Oryzias latipes: one gene and its partner. The protein of the gene in region 2 binds, or shares a complex with, the protein of the main gene of each other region. Links are inferred from orthologs where the notes say so. Each region holds a gene or a part of one and is shown on either strand. Other genes may lie near its edges.

The links. The genes of interacting proteins can lie anywhere in the genome.
Region 1: prkg1 (region 2) and cnn1 share a complex: the UniProt entries of both Homo sapiens proteins name them as parts of the cGMP kinase signaling complex. The link is inferred for Oryzias latipes from reciprocal best matches to the Homo sapiens genes PRKG1 and CNN1.

The regions. Positions count from the first base shown.
Region 1 is NC_019866.2:22,605,604-22,610,187, forward strand, and holds the start of cnn1 (calponin-1), read left to right. Parts: upstream 1-1,459; 5' UTR 1,460-1,663; coding exon 1,664-1,723; intron 1,724-4,584. UniProt on the Homo sapiens protein: Thin filament-associated protein that is implicated in the regulation and modulation of smooth muscle contraction. It is capable of binding to actin, calmodulin and tropomyosin. The interaction of calponin with actin inhibits the actomyosin Mg-ATPase activity.
Region 2 is NC_019873.2:20,154,615-20,159,434, reverse strand, and holds the start of prkg1 (cGMP-dependent protein kinase 1), read right to left. Parts: upstream 3,115-4,820; 5' UTR 2,569-3,114; coding exon 2,264-2,568; intron 1-2,263. UniProt on the Homo sapiens protein: Serine/threonine protein kinase that acts as a key mediator of the nitric oxide (NO)/cGMP signaling pathway. GMP binding activates PRKG1, which phosphorylates serines and threonines on many cellular proteins.

The DNA of each region.
Region 1 (4,584 bases), on a different chromosome or scaffold from region 2:
CAGTAGCTTTTAGGCTCTAATCAGACTTTACTTTTTGGAAACGCCAGAAAACTAAGTGAAGTGATACAGGATACAGAGCTAAATAAAAAATAAATAATTTTATTGACAATCATTTTTTTCAGCTTTTAAATTTTTAGTTTTTTTTAAACATTTTTTTTAATGTTTTTCCACACAAACTGTAAATGTCAGGATAGCAGTAAGTAATTTGTCTTTTATTTTTAATATCATGTGTTCCTGTGTAGATGGTCTCACTGAGTCCAGGTCTGCTGGAGGATTTTTTTATTTTGTAGGAAGGATTTATTTAGTTAAAAGGCTCACTTTATATATATATATATATATATATATATATATATATATTCCTTAAAATCTCACTCCAATCATCTTTTGATTTATTTTAAACACGTTCCTTATGGTCTTTTAATTACAGTGGTGCTGGGACTTGTGTGTTTTTCTAGGACATTGTTTCTGCAGAGCGGCAGCAGTTTATAAGAACTTCACCTCCTTTCCAAAAGCAATAACAGTCCTCAATTCCCAAATGCACAGATAAAATCCATATTCCTGTTTACTTCTCTGTCCACAGTGTCAAAACTCTTACCCCATTACCACCTCTTGCACTTTTGACATGTTTACACACAGTTTGCGTACGCAATTGTGCAGAATTATTTCAGCACTCTTCATTACAGTTTACAGTTTATATTGCACTCTTGTATATACTGTTTGTTTGTTTGATTTGATTGTATTACGATGTTTCTTATTATTTTCCCTTCGTGCTGTTCTTGCTCTGATGGCAATGCTAAAATCTCATTGTACTATGCACAATGACAATAAAGTCAATCTAAATCTAAATCTAATCTAAATCTTATTCAGGAGGGGGTGGGACCGTTGGCGCGGGCCAACCCCCTCCCCGTTGCTGAGAGCTCTCTTGGGTTTTTTCTGCTCCCAATTCACAACGATTTGAAGAAAAAAAACAATAACTCAGAAATACAATTTAATCTTTATTTTCTTCATGTGTGTCTCCAATCATCAGAAGAATGCCACAGAAACACCATCTGAGTGGGTTTTCATGGAGTTATCATTTTTCTGCAGGTGCAATTGTTTTGGTCTCACAAACATTTTCTGCTCAGCATTCCAACAAAACAAGGGATAGAAGTTATGAAAAAGATTTAAAGAGACTTATTAAAGTCGATGATTTATAAGTTTATTGTATTTATTTCCATATAAAATGAACCAATTCTGTGAAACACATTTAAATAGAACTGTTTCAGTTCGTACTTTTACCATAATTGGAATAAATCTGCTTAATATCCGTTGACAGAACCGTAACACGTGAACGTCACGATGACACGACCGCAACAATCGGCACCTCTCTCGCGCACGCGCACTCGGAAAAAGTGACACCGCTTGCTCAGTCATGCCCGAGCGATGACATCACTCGGCCGCGCGCGCGCCCGAGCAGACTGCGCCGTGATTGGACGGCGGCCCCGACCAACCGGCGGGCGCCGACATGGCGAGGGTTTAAAACGACCCAGAAAGATTCCCGCACTGTCCGTCGGAGAGGGTCAGCCGCGGGTCCGAGCGCATGAAGCAGTGACAGCCGGCGGTTTCCGCGGACTTCCGGTCAGGTTTCCCGCTTTTAGGGAGAGAGACACCCAGAAAGGGAAGCATGTCGACGCACTTCAGGAGCGGACCGGCCTTCGGACTCTCTGCCGAGGTCAAGAGTAAGGTGGGTGTGTGGCCTTTGATGATGGGAGAGAGGATTGTTCTCCTCAGGAGGGGGGTCCACCAGATGGGTGTCATCAGCTCCTAGGACAGGTGGGGGAAGTCTGCAAACTGTTGGGACTTTTTTTTGTTTGTTATTTTTTTATGAGGTTTATAGAAACCAAATCAATGTAGGACTCTGATCTAGTTTGGTTCAGCTCAGGCCATGCACTCCCCCCAGAAGGAGGGGTTGTTGGGGATTATGGTGAGGATGAAGGAGGTGGACGGAGGGCGCTGTTCTGATGATTCTGGGAACCAAAGGCCGATCCAGATCCATGGCACTGGTGTGTGTGTCTTCTGGTTCTGGTTGACAAAAATGGTCCGTTTCCAGCCCATCCATGACCTCCCCTCTGAACGGCTCCATCGCTCAGCAGCGCCTTCCTTTCACTCTGCTGTTCTCCAAGAATTCCACATTCCTTGCAGACAGCGGCCGCCTCACAGGACCCGGGATCGAACACGGACGAAGAACTGAAGCCGGGATGGTACGACCCAAAAGCAGAGAGCAGCGGCGCCAGCAGCAGCAGCAGCATCCTCTGATGGCCTTTTAAGGAGCGACCGGCCGGGAAATGAAACTGTGTCCCGACTCTAAACTGTTTACATCTGAAGCAGGACTGATAAAACGCAGGTGGACAGGGGAGAGATGGGGGGCCACGCCAACAGGGACCCGCCCCCTCCTTTCACCACGAGACCATATCTGGAGAAGAAAAAGAAGAGATGGAGCACAAAAATCCACAATAAAAGAAATAAAAATGACCCAGAAAAAAGATAAACGCAGCCTCAACAGGAGACAAACCAGCGTCCTGCTTGTGCCTGTCCCAAGCCCGGCAAATCTATAGAATAGTGTTGAGAAGAGAACTTCTGACACATCGAGTGGATCAAAGGAGAAGAGAAATATATGGAGAGATGATCTGCTATGATGATAGCTTGGTTTTCTGAGCATTCTAGGAGCTCACAGGGATTTAACCATAAAAATGTATTTATTAATCCATTTATTTTCATATTTTATTGATTCAAATCTTTAGGGGAGCTTTCTTAGTACGTTTCTGCTTTGGCTTTTGTCCAAAAAGAAATAAGCTACAGAAAGTTATGCAATTATGAAAACAACTTTTTTTTTTATATTACATTTTTTTTATACATTGCATTTTTTTACAGGTAAAGTATTAAAATAAACTTCTGTATACATTTTCTATTATTAAACAAGGAGTAGTTCCAGAAGCAGAGAATTTGTAGTTTTACTTTTTCAAACTGGTCTATGGTTCTGAAATGCATGTTTTTAATATAAAAATAGAAACGTAAATGTTTTTAATAGAGACCGGTTCATTGCTAACTCAGTGTTTTTATTTTCAGCAATATTTAACCTTTTTTTTCCCCTTTCCAGTCATTTTTAAACAGGTTTTCAGTATAGAATGTGTTTCTGTAATGATTAAAATCCCAAAAAATGCAGCCAAAAAAAACTCTCCTGAATCTAAATCCGGACCCGATCTGGGTCCTAGAACCAGAACCTGCTGCTCCTGCCGCTGTGATCCTGGAAAACCTCCACGGAGAGGAGAAAAGGAGGTGCAGAAACTTGGGGATCATGGGGAGAGGAGGACAGTGGAAAAGGGGAAGGAGGAATTTCTCGGAATGGCGTTTCTCCCAAGTTTGGTGTGATGGACTTGAAGCCGCGCTATCCCTGCTGCTTTCAAAGACTTGTTTGTGTTGGCTGCCGATCCCAGGCTTATCGGGAGAACATTCAAGAGAAGCGGGGAGAGACTGTGTGCGAGCATGAGGAGGCGGCGGTGGGAGGGATGGGGGGTGGGGGGGGTGGCCTTAAACCCCACGCCAGAATTCAACGTATTAGGGAAGCCGGTTTGTGCCCGTTAGTAAATGCATGGATGGAGGAGAGATGAGCATGCAGGAATGTCCACAGGCCTTTTTCTGATCTCTCTTCCTGTTCGCCTTTTTTATTCCAGTTTGGAATCCTTTAGCTACCCGTTTGTTATGAGCAGACGCCAAATAACTGAGGCCTAGAAATGGGAAGGGTAAAGGAAAAAAATATGTCTGCGTACATGATGGACAGATGGATGTAGGGCTGAACAATATGAGAAAAATCTAGCAATTTGCTGTATTAGTAGTCAATATTGCGATGATGATATAACTTGCGATAAATGAACAAACGGCAAAAAAAGCCTAGTTTACGTAGGGTTACATTGGTCAACATCGTGAAGGCGTCCATCCGCTTGGTCAAATGCATAAAGGGATTTATTTGATTCGTTAAATACTTCAAGCTGCCATAAGGTTGTTTTAGCTCATCAAAGGTAACCATTTATTGCAATTTTCACCGTCTTTTAACCATCGATAACGATAAATTTGCGATTTATTGTGCAGGCCTAGATGGATAGATGGATAGAATTTTGTAGTGTATAAGCTATTCAAGTTATACACTAACCAATCAAATGCTCCAATAAAAGTATGTAGAGCCTGCTGTCCCCCACGTCCAGCGTTCGAAACCTTTTGATTGAGAGATTTCGTGTAGTCCGCCTTTAAGTGGAAGGGGTGTGGACTTCCAACAAGGTCACTGCCGATTCACAAGAGTGGTTGCCATAGAGACAATGATTCAGCCTGGTTCAGAGCAATCAATGCTTACTGATGTCGTCTGGCTCCAACATGGCGGCGTCCGTATGGCCAAAAACTGGCAACTCAATTGACTTCATTTAGTTGGAGCAGGACGTAAGTTATTTTCTGTAGGTGACGTCATCTCAAGCTACGTTAACACCAGCCATATGGCGCTGAATACAAGCCGAAAAAGGGGTCTTGAATCCGCTTTTCACACTGGACTGTGGCTAA
Region 2 (4,820 bases):
TTAAAGCTGCTGCGCATAAAAATATATATTTTTTTAATTTAGCACTTGAAGGTGTAACTTTACATTTTTCTCATACATCTATTTTCAAATATGTCATTTATTCAACAAGAAAATAATTAGATCCAATTCGTCTTAGTGGGAATAAACTTTAACAAAGGAGTCTTGGTTTTTGGGGAGCAACAGTTTTTAAGATGATGCTCCACAACAGACCTTTTTGTGCACATTACACAGCAGAAAACATGTCGAATCAACCAAACAAAATCGAGTTCAAAATCCGCCCCCACCAAAGCTGACCCCCAGTGCTCTGGAAATGTGCCTCATTGACCCCATTTCTGTTATATTTACACCCAGGAGGCTCGAAGCCTTTCAATTCCAATCGCTGCCAAGGTTGAGTAAGCTCCTCCAGCAAGACCCTTACAAAAACATCTGCCTTCCCCTACTTTACGAGAATGAGACATTTGCTTCCATCCACTGAAGTTTAGGCAGAGCAAGTTCAGCCTTCCTTAAAAGGAGAAAATATGCACTTTAAGGAGGAAAAAGAGGAGAGGGGTGGCAGAAAAACAGGAGAGGCTCACAAAAATGAGACAAAACAAAGAGAGATGATACAAAGAGAGCGTTCTAAGGGCGCTGTATGGAAGCAAAAAGAAAAACTATTTGTTGAAATGGAACAGACTTTATGGCTGCATTCCAACATGCAGAACATAATAAAAAAGGTATTAAAGATGGTTGTTTATCCACAAGGGTAATGACATAATTAAGCAGTAAAGCAAAGTTATTTTCTCTTAGACATTTTTCGGATCTGAATAAATCCTTTACACAAAATAAAAAACCCAACTTCACTCAAATGAAAATAAGAAGAAAAAAAAACGTAAACACTATTAAAGGTACAGAAACCACTGATGTAATTTGTTTAGTGCATAAATGGATCACAATTATGACTATTAGAGGAGTAATTAGGACTCAAAATGTTACTCCATACAGGGACTGAGATAATCAAAAAAGTTGTCATGTCTAATGCTTAAATTAGCTTTTAGGCAATGTATGAAATATAGTCCTATTAATGGTATTAGCATGGTTATAACTAAGTATTTGTACATTTTTCAAAAAAAAATTTGAATGCATCACTATTTCTGAAGGAGGAAACACATTTGATATTTGTGTTTGGTTTTTTTTCTTGGAAATGTAAGATCCAGAGGGTGAGTTGGCCAAATCTTCACTGATTTACTGAAGTAGCCTGAAGAACTAAAGCTAAAAGCTACTACCTTGACATAAATGACACATGCGGTTACAAAAATAAGCAGGCAGGGGAACAGAAAGCATGGACTAATCTGGAGAATAATCAGCAGCAGCTGGGGGGGTTGCTAACAGAACACAGGTGTGACAGAAGCAAAAAAAAGGAGACCGCCGAGCAAATCAAACGCAACTGACATCAAACAAGACCCAGACAGCAGAGCCAAAGTCACAAACCCTCACATGCTGGAGCTTTGAAAAAAAATACAAATGTAAAACACTTGGAGCAAAAGGGAATTAGGAGATGATCACTCAGCTTTGACAGGAAGTCTGAGACGTCAAGGTTATTTGGAAAAAAGTTATAATAATAAAGTATTATTTTGTTGTTTGTGACATACAGTATATTTTGGGGTTTTGAACCTGACTGTCTTCAGATTAAATGCATTTGTCAGCTGAATAACAAACTTCAAGTGACGCAGAATTCATTATGAGTTAGAAATGTTTTTATGATTGGAAATATCTATATGTCCAAAATCATAGTAACTTATTTTGTGTGTTTTTGCCTTTTGCTTCAGGTTCAGATATCAAAGTGAGTGGTCTGTTTCCATGGAAGCTTGTGAATAAACTACAATCCAGCAGCTGCTGAAAGTAAAACTTATTTTACGCTCAAAGGCGGCAAATCTTCATGTAAACCCAAAATTATCCCTGTAGTCCCTCAATAGACTTTTAATTGTCTCGTGGTGTCGCGGGGGATTTCTGTTAATTAGCCTTTGCTTGCCTTGCTGCCAGTATTGATAACACTCACTACTTAATGTATTGGTTTGAAAGCTTGATTTCACTTTTTCCTCCCAGTCTTGCCTCTCAGTCTGTAGACGCACGTCTGTGTGCGTGCACGCGTGCGCCTCTTCCTTGCGCTACAGGTGAAGTACCTGCTGCGCAACACGAACGCACAAGAATCCCACAGGTGTTGAAGGACGAACGCAAACACGACAATGGATGTGAATACTTGACCAAATGAAAGGTGGACACCTACTGTGGGCTTTTGGGGTAGAAAGGCAGGGTGACGTGGCTAAGATCCTGGATGTCGAACGCAGTGGGTTCTGCAGAAATAGCCTGCCTCTTCGTGCGCTGCTGCTCGTGCAGCTCATTCTGCTTGTGGACCTGTTGGGTTGCCGGTTTGATCACAGATCGGTACTTGTCCAGTTCGTTCTGTAACCTCTGGATAAGTTCGTCTTTCTGGTCGAGCTCCAGCTCCAGCTCGTCAATAAGCGCGTCCCTCTGGCGCAGCTCCTCGATCTTCTCCTGGAGCGCGTACTGGAGGTCGCGCAAAGTGCCCATGTTTTAGCGCCGACGTTTCCGAGAAGTTTAGCGCGCGCTTTGCTGCCTAGTCTTCTTCACCCTCGCTCCTCTTCCGAGTGGCGCGGAAACTTTCTCCGGCATGAACAGTTCTGAGAGGTCGCGGCTGCTGTGTTGACAGCGAACGACGGGAAACGGAGGACTTCCACGGTGAACGTGAAAGCATCACAGGCACAATCACGCAAAGTTTAATGTCCCCGTCTTCATCCCTCTCTCTCTCTCTCTCTCTCTCTTTCTCCACCTCGCGCGCGCAGTTATGTGACAGCGTGGGATCGCCTCCCCGAGTGCGATTTGGTGAGCAGGGCGCCTGCAGGAACCGCGCCACAATGCAGTGTGCCGCTCCACAGAGAGCTGCGCTCGTCTCACATGATTGAGAAAGAAGTCAGTGAGGAAGCCACATGGGCTCTCATACCTCAGCGACGCGCCCCAAGGCTGCCTCTGCGCGCGCAGAGGAGAGCGCAGCCTTAATGAAGTTGAAGGTGATGGGAAATGAACCTCAGCGCACAAATGAGTCACTGTTTGTTTTGGGTTGGATTGCTTGTTTTAAAAGGTGAAAGATATTTGGAAAATATATAAATAATTGAAAGCTTAATTAATCAGGATGATTAAACTTTGCTTGGCAAATATTCACATTTTTGTGGTAATTACAGCAAAGGTATAGTTCCACCAAGCAGATTTAGTCGTATCAAAATGCCAAAGATGCTCATGACTCCACATCTAATCTGGTGCTGTGTGTGCGCTCTGCGCGCCGCTGGTGTCTGACCACTTGATCCCAGTGAGTCATCTGAAGCTCAGGGAATCTGACCCCACAGCGCCCGAACTCATGTAGACGAGGACGATCTGATGGAATTGGGGAGCTGCTTGCAGCAGCAATCGGGTACCGCTGGTGGGCAGGAGGAGAGGGGGTGGTGGGGATTTTTCTTGGATAAACCTGGATGCTAAGAACTGTCTCCCAAACAGCTGGGATTGGAGGCAGATGGTCCATTAACAGACCACAGCTGCCCTCGTGTGGCGGATTTAAGGAAACCACAGGACGAGAATAAAATGATCATCTGAAATAATGAGTTTTCAGAAAAGGTTGTGTTTTTTAGGATTTGCTTTCCCAGTAAGATTTGAGGGTTCATATTCAAACATTTCAAACCGTGCTTTGTGTTACAGATGAGGAAGACTTGTTAAATCGGCGCATATATCTGCAAAAGTGTGTAAAGTAACTCATTTAATAATTAAGCAACAGTGTTTATCTTCTAAATCAGGGGTGTTAAACTCATTTTCACTGAGGGCCACATCAGCATAGTGGTTTTCCTCAAAGGGCCAGATGTAATGAAAATAAACCTAACTACTCTCCTTAATGTTAAATAACTCATTTATTTCTTTATTATAACTTTTTAAAGTGACAATAACAGATAGAAAACAAATGTTTGCTTGTTACTTTAGCATAAATCCTTTTAAATTTGATTCTGCCAGGTTAGGTTATATGGACAGTGTTTATGTCCTAATGTATAGTTGCCCATTCCAATATTTTAAATCCAATTCCCCCTAGATATGAAAAAATACACACCAATTTTAAGTTTTTATTTTAAGAAATAAAAAACTTTTACGCTCTCGCGGGCCACATAAAATAACATGGTGGGCCACATTTGGCCCGCGGGCCTTGAGTTTGACACATGTGCTCTAAATGGATATTAATGCTTTTTTTTCTATTAAATAAACAGATGAAAATACAGTAAAGCTTGCTTGGGGATACTGCAGGTGCATCCAGGGTCTACATACCTCAGAAATCCAGCCCACTGTCCTTCAAAGCTCCTCAGTGCTTCAGATTTCACCTCTCTTGCCTTGCAGCTCTGCCCGTTTCCTAGGCGGATCAATAGAAACAGAATCCGCTGCTTCTTTTGGCTGTAATCTGAGAAGACGAGCCGGCCGCCGCCTGGTGCCACTCTAATGGGAAGGGATCACACTGAATCTGACCCCACTTCAGTGGACAACTTTCTCCAGACATGGCTGGCACCTTGGGCTTGCAAACACACCCGTGGGTTCATTCAACCTTTTTCTGAGAAGCATCCAGCTGTGCAGACTAAACAATGTGTATTATTTCAACTTGTTTTTTTTTCTGAAAGAATGAGAGAGCTGCCACACAATCACTTGAATCATTCTTAGGGGAAAACCACTAATTTTGTTATTTCTTACGGCTGTTTATTTGTTCATGGTTGTGAAACAACTCTCTTTTCAAATGTTGT